Linked DNA regions of Lytechinus pictus. The protein of the gene in region 1 interacts with the protein of each later gene in a pairwise test. Links are inferred from orthologs where the notes say so. Each region holds a gene or a part of one and is shown on either strand. Other genes may lie near its edges.

What was found.
Region 2: the proteins of cyclic AMP-responsive element-binding protein 3-like protein 2 (region 1) and transmembrane protein 218-like interact in binary tests that used the Homo sapiens proteins (3 or more experiments, as listed by UniProt). The link is inferred for Lytechinus pictus from reciprocal best matches to the Homo sapiens genes CREB3L1 and TMEM218.

The regions. Positions count from the first base shown.
Region 1 is NC_087263.1:5,804,492-5,811,878, forward strand, and holds the start of cyclic AMP-responsive element-binding protein 3-like protein 2, read right to left. Parts: upstream 3,020-7,387; 5' UTR 808-3,019; coding exon 606-807; intron 190-605; coding exon 1-189.
Region 2 is NC_087252.1:19,357,450-19,364,955, reverse strand, and holds the start of transmembrane protein 218-like, read left to right. Parts: upstream 1-4,503; 5' UTR 4,504-4,622; intron 4,623-7,506. UniProt on the Homo sapiens protein: May be involved in ciliary biogenesis or function.

The sequences.
Region 1 (7,387 bases):
TGGTCAAGATGGATTTGACGCCGGTCAGCTTGTCCATGAGTAGATAGCCGGTGGTCAAGCCGGCGGGCGTGGTGGCGGTGGTGTGCTGGTTTGACGAGAGTAAGGAGATATGTTGGTGGTCCTCGGTCTCCGGAGAAACGGGAAGCATGTCATCGAGGCCTTCGGGATCGTAGTTGCTGTCCAAATCATCTGAAAGATTCATAGAGGAAGACAATAAATATACACTGAAGTATTGACCCTAAATGACCTTTGACCTTGGTCATGTGACATGAAACTCAGGCAGGATGTTCAGTAATACTTGATTAACCTTATGGCCAAGTTTCATGAACTAGGTCCATATACTTTCTAAGTTATGATGTCATTTCAAAAACTTAGCCTTCGGTTAAGATTTGGTGTTGACGCCGCCGCCGCCGTCGGAAAAGCGGCGCCTATAGTCTCACTCTGCTTTGCAGGTGAGACAAAAATTAGCTAATGCATTGAAATTCTACTGTTACAGATTCATGCCCCCATTGGCTATCCATAGTTAAAGCGCAACTTGAAACCAGAGTTTAAATTAAACCGGACATCAGAATACGGGCCATAGAATAAATCAAATTTCTTCCCACCTTCTTGCTTAATCTCCTTCATCATGGGCGAATTGGGTTCACTCATCATAGAGTAGCTATGCTCGTCGGTGATGTGGGGCGGCGACGGATCAATGGATTCTCCCGACACCATCTTGTCGGAGGAGAGCAGCGGGTCATCGTCAAACAGGTAATCATACTCGTAGTAGCTGGAGGAAGATAAGCCATCAAGGTGGTCGGTCATCGGCTGTAGGTCAAAGGTCAAGAAGAGATTTTACGGTTAGATTTTCAACAGCAAGGAATACGATGTTTAAAAAAAATCTTGGATCTTGTCATAATGTTATGATGTTGTCAAATCATAATGTTGAGTAGCAATACTTATTACTAGTATTTGGATAGAAGAATAATTGCAAACATTAAACACAAATAAATACTTTTAGAATTATGTATATTGACATGCATTACTTAAATAAAACTCATTAAATAGAATACAACAAATTGCTTTAATTCCTACAATGCCTATTAGCACAGACAGTATCTCTCGATCCTTTTGTCTTGATCCATCCGACAAAAACCCCACTCAAACACTTTCATCAAAGCAAATACTTAGTCTTTCCAAATCATCCTCACAATCTAAACCATGTCTTTTCGTTCACCTTCATTCATATAAACACTGCAACATGTGATCTATTAAACAAATGAGGTCAATTTGCGATCATATGATCACAAGAAATGTCCTTCCGTTATCATTCATGAAGACATGACCTTCAATGAGCTGTGTGACTTTCAGAGCTCAGTGATACTAAGCACACTCGCATGTGTATATAAAAGAATTGTGATACGTCAGTGATGACAAATAGAAAACACAGTCCCAATTTCATATTATTCAGACTATACATTAATGCATGGTACTTTACGAGCAATGTTCAATGATGGTGGTGGAAGTGTTTTTGTTTTCCTTCAATTTTCAATGTACATTGTTATCATGCCAATATTTTTACAATATTTATCTGGTTATGGAATTTTCATTCATTTATGACCATCAGGTTGAAATGAAAAGGGGGAGGGTTTTACTATGTGATAATAAGTACAAGTTCAAATACAAGTTACAACCCATCAAAACATGCCAATAGCATTTATCACTTTAGAAAGGTTGTGACCGTGTTGTTAAACTACTAGTATGCCCCCCCCCCACCTAAAATAGTCAAAAGTACAAAGTCAGATCCCAAGTTCAAATCCAAAACAATGACAAAAGAAAATTATCAATGATCTTATCAGATACTGTCAACAAGAACATGGTCTTTAAAAACCAATAGTAACTGATACAGCGTAGTTCTATCAAATTAATCTCACAATGCGATGTTACAAATTATACACTGGGAATGGAATGCTGTTTTGTGTGATAAGAGAAAGGCAATGGAACGGAGTACATTGTCATGTCCAAAGGTCAGATCCTTGATCATTCAAAATAATTCAAAGAATTACGATCAAGTTTCAAACCAGAGAGAATGGGTGGTTTGCTGATAATCAGACCAAGGTATTAGTCTAACTATTCCCTGATAAATCTAGGTTGCACCCCAACAATATAGACCTACATGTAACTTGTAGAGAATGCTCATGTCAATTTTACTTTTTCAATTTTCAGGACAACCAAAATTCAAGGACATTCATTATCAAATAAACACAGTTCTTGTATAGTGCACAACGCATATACCACATTATGATATAACGTCCCTATGAATTTACACGTACAGAGGACTTGGATATCATATATTTATATCATACATGTTTTTTTTCCTTCAAATTTCAAGTCAAAAATATATTTTGAACTAGGATTAAATTGATTCATAAAATGCAGGGAATGTGACAGCTTCATAAATGTAAATGCTAATATTTTCACCATGTTTGCAGTGGTTCAGAATCTACATCCTGTCTGAAACTAAATAATAAATGACTACGGTAAAAGTCCAAATCCAATCACCTGTTATAAATTCAAGGATCATTCAATATAGCAAACCAGATGGAAGGGAAAGGTGATCACGATGTATTGATCATGGTACATAGTACAATATAAACCTCTTTGAAGGGCATAGTAATATTTTCATTATAGTATCATTCATTGCATGGGCAAGAGAAGGGGGCAGAGCTGCCAAGTTGTATTTTGCATTTTCAGTATTCTTATCCCCCAAAATCAGTATTTTGACAAAAAAAATCAGTATTTTTACCGTGTGAGATAAATATTTTCCCCAAAAAAGTGTATTTCATAATAAAATGCTTGGCACACTCGCCCATCACGGCGCTCAAGCTGCATGCAAGCTTAAATGCGCACTGCTCTTGCAGATGAAAAAAAAAAACATTGAAACTTGTGTATAACTCACCCTGGTTTTTACAAAATGATTGAAAAAAAAAAACAAGTTACCTGAAATTACATTGATCTAATAACCATATTTGTGTACGTTTTATGAAATAGAGACATATAGAGATGATTTTTCTCAATAAATGACAATTTTTGTAAAAAAAAAAAAAAAAATTTGGTTGAAAAATCGTACTAAATACGGCCAAAAACGTACTGGTTGGCAGGTCTGAGGGGGGAGCAAGTGAGGATCATGCTAGAAAAGGGTTTGAGGAGTGGCAGGAATGAGAATAAATGGGGGGGGGAGGGAGAAAGGGGGGATAGCGATTGAAGAAAGTAGGCTGCAGGCAAAGACCCTGATCGAAAATTTGATCAAGTGGGTCTTCACACAAGACTAGCATATATAGAACTTGCTGTTTCAATTCCTGAGCAAGAGGGCCTTCTGTACATACATGAAGTCATTATAGGCTGCATATTCAGACCACTTGACTTGAGTGAAAGGTTTGCACAGCAGACTAGGGAGGGAAAAGAGGGGGAGGGGAGGGAAGAGGGGAGGGAAGAGGGGGGGAAGAGGGGAGGGAAGAGGGGGGGGGGGGGAGGGAAAAGAGGGGGGAGGAGGGAAAACTGGGTAAGGAGAGAAAATGGAGGTGAGGGAAGGGGAGCGAGGGGGGAAAGGTAGGAAGGGGAGACATGGGGACGAAAGGTGATCACCACTGTGGCGACTTACTGGAGTAACCAAGCTTTGCGGCTGTTGTTTATTTATAAAACAACTGGGTTCTCTCATAAGAGAAAGGGAAATAAGATAAAAATAGAGGTAAGAAGTTAATGTACTGTCAGGGGGGAAATGGGAGGTATTTGCAGGTAACATAAAACTATATTTAAATACTACCTACTAATTATCACACTCTAAAAATTAGTATGAGGAAATAACACTGATGACTTTCAGGAAGCAAAACTATGAAATGCAGCAGATTCTACCAACTTGAAAATAATAAAATAACTGTTTTATTTTTATCCATGATGTATGAATCGCAGACTGAAGTACTGTAGCCTACAAAAGTGAATTAAATGGGGAAAACATGGAATAGCCGATATATTTGGGAAAGTAATTCAATCATTCCAAACATATTGTTTATAAAAAGAACATATGTGAATACAATCAATAGACATAGAATGCCCCTCAAACATTGGGGCCATCATTGTATTGTAATGAGAAAATCAACACATGATAACTGATAAGGTCTGTATTTATAAAAATAACTCAATTGTCTACAAATAGGCAGGCCAATAATACATATTGTAGGTGCAGTGTAATCTGATTGTACAACAGCATGTTTTGTAGAGAATTTCTCTGAAAAACATTTTGTCATCAAACATGTATGTTTAACTGTAATCCGAAAGTCCTGTAAAAGGCAATGGGAAAATATTCCAACTCACTTTTTAGGTAGGCTACCATGCTAACTACATGTAGGCCCACAATGAATTTGGGTTGTTCATTAGTTCTTTGTGGGAGAAATATACTTCAAAATATCATTTAAAGGGCAGTGAATTCCACCCACTAAGTACGGCAGATCATCAAAACCTTTTACATTGAAAAAGGATTTTAAAGGCTAATCCACATTGACACATCAAGCAAAACAAGGAGACACGTTGATCTTTGCCCATGCAACTCTTGCTCCCATGATAAAGATGCATCCATGCACCCCAATGGCACAGGAAGCGTCTAATTCTGTCCCGTAGACATCGTCTAACCAATCCCTTTGTGACATCACAGGAAATTATTGACGGTGCTCCCTCGCTTGCCCTCGCTCGGTATAGCCCACTCCCAAAGTCAACTCGATTCGAATGAGCTGTATCTAGTCTGTGTATGTTGCTGTACACTTTAGTGCTAATCACCAAGTATGCGAAAATTGGCCCTTTTAGTATCTGTCCCTTTAAGTTGAATACAATGTACTGTATACTGTACAATTAATTTCAATGTTTATTTGTTGAATAAACCATTTACTTGTTTGTTATTCATGAATAAAGATGCAATTATATGCATTGCCCACTTGTACGTAAATCAATACTCAGTGTTATCCATTTACAAATACCAAAACAAACTGATATCAAATAAATAAAACATGAAATGAAGTGTATTCAAATTGCAATTCTTTCATTGAAAACAGGATGCAATGTCCAAAGTTAGATTCATAACATATCCTGTGTATTCATTACAGAACAATATTTCACTTTAGGTAAATGTTTATGTTTAGCAGTACTTGGAATCATTTTTCTTCATGAGAAACACATGTAGTGAAAAAAAAATCACCGCTTAAAAATGCAGGAAAATGTTGAGCTTTTTATTGAAAACTTTTTTCATATCAAGGGCAAATTTATCATTAATTATTATGGATGAAACAGAGTTAATGTGTACTAAAGGACCCAATTAAAGAATAAAAGGCTGAATTGCTGATGCTATCCTGGACAAAAATAAGGAACTGGTTTATTCAAGGTTCAAGTCAATTCCTGCTTGAACATGTATTACCTGTATAGGTCAACAACCCACCCCCCCCCCAAAAAAAAAATACATGTAGAAGAGGAATCACGTCCATAAAGTAAATATATATATACCGTAAGGCTTTGATGGTGGACTTTGTTACTATCATTTTTTTTTTCAAAGTCAACCTTTGAAGATAATAAAGGATAACCTTTCAATTTGATGAACAAGATATAATTGTTTTTTGACGGAGCTCTTGAACTGAAGCCACTTAGATCTCAAGAACAACAAGGAAGGAAACCATTGTAAATGATTTGATCAAATAGTTTTAGGTATTATTTTGATAAGGGGTTATTAAATGTATGAATCTATATTTACATGATTGTGTATAAGTGCTAAGATTTGATTTAAAAAATGGATTTTATGTTTCTCTCCTTCTGGAGGTTGGTCAACAATCAAACTCTGTTTTTTCTAGAATAAACAACAATTTTGATCACTGCTTTTGGAATGCTCTAATTTCATCTTCGTTATAAATGTTGTACCATATTCACTGAAAATCATTTCAATATTACAGTATAAAGTGCATGTTTTATTCTTTCTTTTTGCTGAAAAGTTACAAAATTTTCAAACATCCTTTTTTTCTTTTGGCAGTCCATACTCTGTACTTTTATACATGTAGTGAGTTGGAATAGACACTTCACAGTGTGGTCAAGAAATCAACGCCAGGCTAACTTCATCACTGCCACGAGAATAACTCTATATCTTATTAAAATCAAATGGAGCTACTTTCTCATATATTCAATTTTTCATTCATCCACTGACAACATAATCGCATCAAACTGAAAATAATATAGTTCTGCCAATATTTTTTGTCATCGAAATCTACCGGAATGTGTAAAAAAAAATGGCAAGCACTTCAGAACCATACGATGCCAGGTGCAAGCGAATGATATATTGACATTTCTGTCGGCATTCATGATTGCAATTATACTTGTCAAATAATCAATCAACTTGAAAAACACTTTCATAGATGAACAAGTTGCACACTAACTGTTAAAGTTGTTGTCAATCCATAATTTTGAAAGACACTTCACAAAGAAAAAAAATTTGTGAAAACTGTCTATTTCTACTAACTTATCGTAGTTGGTACATGTACATGTAGTAGTATGTAGTTTTAATACTAGTGGGTGTTTCATAAAGCTGTTCGTAAGTTTAGAGCGACTTTAAGAACGACTGGTGATCCTTTCTTGTGGTAATTATGGTGTACACCAAAATGTTAATTGGCGATGGCTTAGCGCGTAAGAAAGGTTCACCAGTCATCGTTAAAGTCACTCTTAACTTCCGAACAGCTTTATGAAACACCCACCAGGTAATGCAAATGCTCGTTTCAGATATTGCAGTCATAGGGTCATGGATCCCGGGGTAGAGATCCAGGAATATTTCATGATTTCATGAATAATTATCTCCTTGTTTATCAATTTCCTAATCAGATACATGTTTTATATTCATTCATACTCCTCGTTCGGGAAATCTGTTGATACAATTATGCAGTACTCAGGTGACAGAACCATATGGTCATATTCCCAGCAGAAGTTCAACAACAAATGAATAAATCTCAATTCTAGTCTTGGTTCAACAATTTCTGGTGTTTGCAGGGAAGGCTCGCTTGTCAAAAACCCGACAAATGTTGCTCATGTCAAAAGAAACTTTCGCAAATATATAAATTACACCTATTTCTAAAAAATACACATATCTTCATAGCAAATCATATACATGTACATGTGGGCCTTCACATAGTACATAAGAAATCTCAATGGGCAAGACAAGAAATTGACACTAATTATTCATTTTACAATTTCGTATCAATCTCGATCTTCCAAATATGGATGTAAGCTTTAGAAACCAAGGTGCGAGGAGGCATTTCAAAATACATGTGTCAATTGACCACTGAAGATGATGTAATACTAATAACAGTTCAGCAAAGGCAGGCCG
Region 2 (7,506 bases), on another chromosome or scaffold:
GAACCTCATTTTGTTTTCGGACTAATGTACCTTCGGAATTACGAACCTTCGGAATAAGGAACCTTCGGAATATCCGAACCTTCGGAATAACGAAGCTTCGGAATTACGAATGTATGCGTAATTTTTGAGGGGCGGTAACGGCACGCAAAGCGTGCCAACAATTAGACAGCACGCTCCCTAGGGGGAAGGGATGACTTTTTGATATCTCATCACATTTAAATCAAAAGACAGATATTTCTTGCGTCTATACCCTTATCAACTCGAACTCAATTGACTTGCTGTGATTATAAAAACTTGTTTTCGAAAGAAATATGAGCTCCCCAAAATGGGAAAAGATTGAGGAATTTGAAATAATTCCTCTTACCGCGCGAAACGCGGAAGATAAAACCTTTTATAAAAATTGAGAACAGAAGTGGTATGAAATTCCCAGCTTGGTCACATCAGATCTGATTGCAAAAACTTTAGCCAAATTAAATTTCTTTAACTCGCAAAACAGAGTAGAAGACAGGAATATATGCAGGGATGAAATATTCCTTCCCGCGAATATGGCGTTCAAGCTCAAGTAGTAGTAGGTCCATGATGATATTAATCTAGAAGCAGCCACCCTTATTAAACAAAATCTTACTTCCCATATAACTCTGGTGGATGAGACAGCCATTAATGAAGCAATGATTTCTATTAATAATTAGATTCAGCCAAAATTACGAAATGCTATACCCATCTACTAATAATAAGCCCAGAAAAACAAAGCAGTTTTTATGAAACCATGGTACAACCACAGCTGCTATAGATTGAGAAACAGGTATCGAAATGTAAACAAAAATCCTTTAAAAAAAACAGACTGACTACAATAGGCAAAACATGATTCAATGTGGGAAAAGGTATAAAATTATAAGTATCTCAATAACAAACTATACGAACTTTGAGACCTACTAAACCGAGGGATTTTTGGAAAATTCTCCAAAGCAATAGTGTAAATAAAAATATAAAGATAGAGGCTAATTTTGCTGATCTATAGTTGACCACTTTGAGGATTTAAATCAATCTTACGATAACTTCCCCTCTCCTACAATCCAACATTTTGATAATCCGGCCATCAATGATGAATTTACTCTAAAAAATGAAAAGGATCAAAGATTATAATAGATGGAACTATAAATGAGTTCTTAACAGATACTTCGGCGGTTATTATTCCAATCCTTACTAGGTTATTCAACATTGTAATCAATAGTGGTAAAGTTCCTGATGTTTGGGGTATTGGTGTTATAACTCCTATCTTTAAAAAATAATGGTCCTGTTAAAAATACTGGAAAATTATCGAGGGGTCTCGATCCTTAGCTGCATTGGCAAACTGTTTACTTTACTTCTAAATGAGAGATTAACAAAATATATTGACGTTGGTATCTTAGGGGAGAATCAAGCAGGATTCATGCACAAATACTCAACCATTGACCATATATTCTGTTTAAAATGCATTGTTGATATTTATACAAGATTCCTAAATAAGAAACTTTTTGGTGTTTTTATTGACTAGTAATGACATTAATGGTAAAATTCTTTCTGATGTTTCGAAAGTATCCAAGTGGTTTATATCTGAAATATTCCCCATACAGGTGATAATTTGTCGTCTCTCCTCTTCTTTCTTTATCTAAAGGATCTTGAAACTGAGCTTAGTAGAAAATATAAAGGCACCTCGAACCTCTCGGACCTGATTGAGAATAAAATAGTTCATACTGTTATTCAAGGAGACTGTATAAGTTCTTCAAAAATTAATGTCAAAATTGTAAATCCGAGTATAGGCGGATTGGAAATAAAAAACACAGCACAGAGTACAGCTTTGTCGCAAAGCTGAAACAGGAGAAATACTAATTTTGAACATTAAAATCTATCCAATATTTTTATTCACGAAATGAATTCACAGCGAAAGGCTGAACTACATGAATGTGTACAGAGTAAAAAATCAGTAGGCCTAGGCCTAAACAAACAAGTAATACAAATGCCTAATATCCATTAAGTTAGGCATGGATATACAGAGAAGGTAAATTAAAGGGAATAAATTGAAAGAGGGAACATGTCTTTCGTCCAAAGGATATCTTAATAAAACATTAATTCGGGATTTGATAAGTTTGTTAACAAAGTAAGGAAATGTTGAATTTGTCCGAAAAGTGGCATTTTTTTTATTAGACAAAGCTTTCATTTCCCAATCTTTAAAAAGTAATATCACTGTATTCGGAGGAGAATTCATGAGTTAAAAGCACACTGTTAAGTGTTTTACTGCAGTCGTCAATTTAAAGAGAGTAGGTACATATCAATTATTTAACATGTTTAAAGTATAGATACAGAACCCAAATAGAAATTGGTGTATAGTTCTACAGTTAGGGTGAAGCCACAACAACCTTAAAAACAGTCAAAACGTTCCTCATAAATAATAGCAAGTGGAAAATGTAATGCAAATGAGTCAAGCATTGTCATGTGGGGCTAGTCTTGTTAAATGTTAAATGAAGTATTAAAATCCTTGCACCAGTCAAGTGCATAAGCTTTGATGAAGAAAAAACAATGCTGCAATTGTATGTGTTACAATTGTCCCACAGGCATGTTACAATAACCCCATGTTGTGGGGCAATTGTAACACTTGACCTCTTATTTTCAAATGATAGTAGCTTCTAAATTAAAGGGGAATCCAACCCAAATAAAAACTTGTTTTTATGAGAAAAAGAAAAATCAGACAAGTTGATAAGTGAAAGTTTGAACGGTATTGGACAAACAACAAGAAAGTTATGAATTTTTAAAAGTTGTAGATATTGGTAATCACTATACTCATGGCGACTTCAAATTGGCCGCATATGGGATGTCATAGTGATGTAAGGCAAGGACTACTCTTCCATGTGCTCCAATACATATTATGGCTAAAATGTCATTTTTCCCCAAAGTTTTATTTCAAATTATATTTTTCTTTCATGAGGACATTAAACAAAATACTACCTGGGTTATATTTAGATTACTGCCCCAGGGGAATGGGTACTTAGGAGAAAACCACAAATCCCTGATAATAAAGTACATGGCCTATGGAAAAGTTGTCCTTGCCCCTTGTCATAATTTACTTACCCAGTTGCCAATTTGAAATCTACATACTATTAGTGATCTCAATTTTAAAGCAGCTATAACTTTCTTATTGCTTGTCCGATTTCTTTCAAACTTTCACCATCCTGTTTAATTTATTTTTCTCCTTCCCAACACAATATTTTATGGCAAAGGTTGGATTCCCCTTTAATTGTTTAACTTAATCCAAACCTATTCGTGGTGTCAAGCCAAGATATGCATCTTCGTTTTATTTAGGTTTTTTAGCAGGCATTTAGCTTTAATAAGGTGTATGTGTGGGAGTATATATATATATATATATATAATATATATATATATATATATATATATATATATATATATATATATATATATAACGCGCTTTTGGGTAAAAGATCATTAATGACGTAAGTTACGTAATAATAAAAGAGTATGATTTAAGTTTCGTAACTCTTATTATTACGAAATCTTTTTATTGTTACGAAACTGAAATCTCACTATATATATATATATATATATATAAATACATATGTTTTGTTTATTTCTTTATTTTATCTTATCTTTTATTCATAAAATGTAAAGGAGGCCTTCACCCTACAAGCTCTGCTTTTTAATTGGTCTCCTTCCCTTTCGATTTCATGGTATTATTGTATTATAAAAAATGATTTAGATGTTATATTTTGTAAATATGTATATTGAACTATCAGTGTAAATGTAAAAAGACTGAAAGAGAAAATAAATGAATTGAATTGAATTTAGTAAATTTTGTTACAATTGTCCCCGCGGTCCCTTTACAAAATGAAGGTCATTTTGGTACCGATATTTGTTTTATAAGCCAAAAGGGGGGGGGGGTCACGGTAAATTGAAGGTAATCCTGGGTTGGCTCCAAAATGTAGGTCGTTATTTTTTTTTTACTTGGCAGCCCCAGGGGGGGGGGGTTAAACCGTTGATCCGCCTCTGCCAGCTAGAGTTTTTCTTCTTCTTTGGGTGTACTGCCCAACGCCCCGGGAGCCACTTCAACCGCGCGGGAGTTGTGAGAAGTTTCATGGTTTCCTCAGGAAACGAGATATTTCAAGTTTGCTCAAAATTTCTTTATAAAGTTAGATCATTTTTGTTGTGACATATACATGTAAATACAAAAACTTGGAAAATTTACCGCTTCCAATAGGGGCCGGGTGCTGATGGGTTATCTTGAAAAAATATATGTTTTTTTCTTTATTCATTTTCAATCCAGATACACTTACAAATAAGCTTTCGTAAAATATTATTTACAAACGGTTCATTGAACTTTAACATGATCAGTGTAAAAATGAATGATAACATTGACGACGTTAGGCAGGCCTGAATCTCGTACCCATATACCCCCATCCACTCACTTTCCCCTTCTGCTCGACGTCATAATCTCGCTTGGAAATATACGAGATCGATATCCGGATCCGAACTCTCATCTCCAGATCGGATACCGGTTTCCGTAAACAGTATAAATTTTCTGAAATTACGATTTTCTCCTGTAATTTTGCTGTTCAAATCATAATTGTAATATGGTGAGTTGGTAAATGTTTGTCGCTATTGAATAGATGATTTGAATACGAATTTTCATTCAAATGATAGTATAATACCTATTTTTCAAGATGATTGCGTTGCTGCATTTATATACAAAAATGTGTGTTTAGTCCCATTGTATGTTATGCGTGTTTGTTGTGATAGATCTAACATAACAAGTTGATTGTATTAAGTTCGAATTCGATGTTAGTCTACTCTTGCTATCCGCTTCCTTCATAGGTTCTACGATAGGGCATAGGCCTACAAATAGATCTATACTCTATACAAGTTGTATGTTACTAAATAAAGTTAAAAGAGATCAACTAAGTGTAAAATTGCAACTGAATATCCAGAGGCAGAGCTACGTCTAATTTTAAATTTGTACAAAAAATTGTAGATTTATATTTATATGAAGTTTTTTAATTTATTTTTCATAATAAATACATCTGACGCCTTGTGCGCAAACTAACACTGGCTACGAGGTGGGCGTGGCCCACTCACACTAGTACGAGGTTAGTATATATAGCCTATATACTAACCTCGTACACCGAACCGTGTTTGACCCTTGATTTCGAAGTAGTCGGCAAACATCGCTTCATTGCTGAAGTAATATTTGCCGAAACTCCTTCTCGCTACTCACCGGGGCTCTTTCCGGTAAGTAGCAATACATTAAAAAATAAAAAATGTAATTTGAATATAATAATCGGTCAAAAAGAGCAAATTTCGCTTACCTCGGCCTGGAAAGTAACTTCGCTTGTCTCTTCTACGGAAATACAAGGAGGCCCGTTGGTGGCGCTAATAAATTTCACAACCTTGATTCAGCTCCTCTGTAATTTTATAACTGTGTCTAAATCCTTTGAATGCGCAATTCTTATGATTAATTTACTAATTATGGGCACCAATAAATGAAATACCTTCAAACATGTCAAAAACATAATTCAAGATTATTATTGGCGATGATAACACTTTTCTGCAATTAATTTAAAACGATGACTAATAAAGAAAGATTGAAAAAAATATACGTGCCTGGAACAAAACCAGCAGTACAGGCTTTAACGAACATCAATAATACGGTATACCAAAGTCTTTACAATGAAAAGATTGGACACTTCACGGACTTTGCGTAATGACCTGCGTCAATTTGCGTGTAAAATAGTGTAGGTGCCTAGTCTTTCCCTTGTCGTGTCTTTGATATGAATATAAATCGCGCGCCCTCTTTAGACGAAAATTGATATCGGCGCTGACCAAATTTTATCTCCGTGAAATCTTCACTAAAGATCAAGAAAATATACATATTTTTTAGAAGAAACTTCAAGGAGAAGTCACGGAAAGATCTAAATGATTGGGTAAGTGTCATAGCAGAATGTGAAATCCCTAATTATGTGTGATGTTTTATGTGAGCGAAAGCCCAGTAGTATATTGATGTGTCGTGTGTGTCGCGTTATTATGAATGATATTCCTTCGCACGCGAGATGATATGAGCCCATGGGTGGGCGTGGCCTAGCATTTGACTGGGCTCGAGCGGCAAATTTGAATTCGAATAATAATGAGCAAAAGGTCACGCACGATCCTTGAACTTTCGACGTTTAAAAATGATCAACGACCACAATCAGCGACAATTAGCTACGGGAGAGTTACAGGGATTAAGCGGCTTATCGTTTCCTGACAAAGGCCATAGTTTGACACTTAATAATAATATCTTCACTTTTAGGAAACCTTTGGAACTGGGAGTTGGTATGTTTGTTTTGGTTTGGTTTTCTCTTTCTATTCATTGTTTATTTAAATGTAAAGACGTTCAAATAAAAATTCTAGGATTTTATTTTGTCCACCCTACTACCAAGTCTCACGCATTGTGCGTGAGACTCACGCATCCAGGGTCCGTCTCACGATCTCACGCATGGCGCCCATTTTTCTCACGCATCGGGACCCGACAGAAAAAAAAGAGAAAAAGTAGCATTATTCGTTAGATTATGCGCACTGGCCGACCGCCTTCGCACGCCGTCGCGTCTACCCCGACACGCGAGACGAATCGAGAGTGCAGTCAGCGCACAGCTAGTACGTGATACGAGGAATCGTGTGCGTGCATCGCGTGGTTTTGTAGTATGGATCAATATCATGATGAAGCCCATATCTCGCGCGCGCCTTTTCGAAACGTACAAGTGTAAGTACTGGCCGCGCGCGTGCAGAGACGCCGAGTCATGAAAATCTCACGCATAACATTTTTTTGAACTTGGCATCTCTGAATATCTGTGATTGATTGCAAATATTTTCTTGCAACGCCACCTAAGTCATTAAGTGACCTAATTCCTGACCTAAGTTCAAGTTCAATCTTCTCTCTCTCTCTCTGAGTCTCTCTCTCCTGTTTAATTGTATAATTAAACGCATTAATATAATTTATAACTTGTTAGGTCCATGTAGGTCAGGTCAGGACTTGTTAATATCAGCTGAATTGCCGGCCTTCATGATATTCTTTCATTTCAATAATAAGACATGTGATTGTGAAGAATCATTGTTTCAGCGATTTTCAAAAAAATTGATGCAAAAAATGTATTGGGTGAAAGTGTGAGACTTTTAATGCAACTCGCTGGTTTCGTCTTCTTTTTAGTGCAATATTTCCTCTGACAAAAATTTCCAGTGGTGGACTGTCGTGTACACTTTTTTAGATAACATTGGTCAAACTAAGATGATGAATCACCACCCCTCATACTTGTATGGCTTCATTTCAAATATGAAATTATTTTATTGATTAGAGGGTCGTGGGTTCGAATCCCAGCTATGGCGTAATTTCCTTCGGCAAGAAACTGATCCATAATGTGCTGCACTCAATCCAGGTGAGGTAAATGGGTACCGGTAGGAAGTAATTCCTTAAAAAGCTGTGTGCGCTAT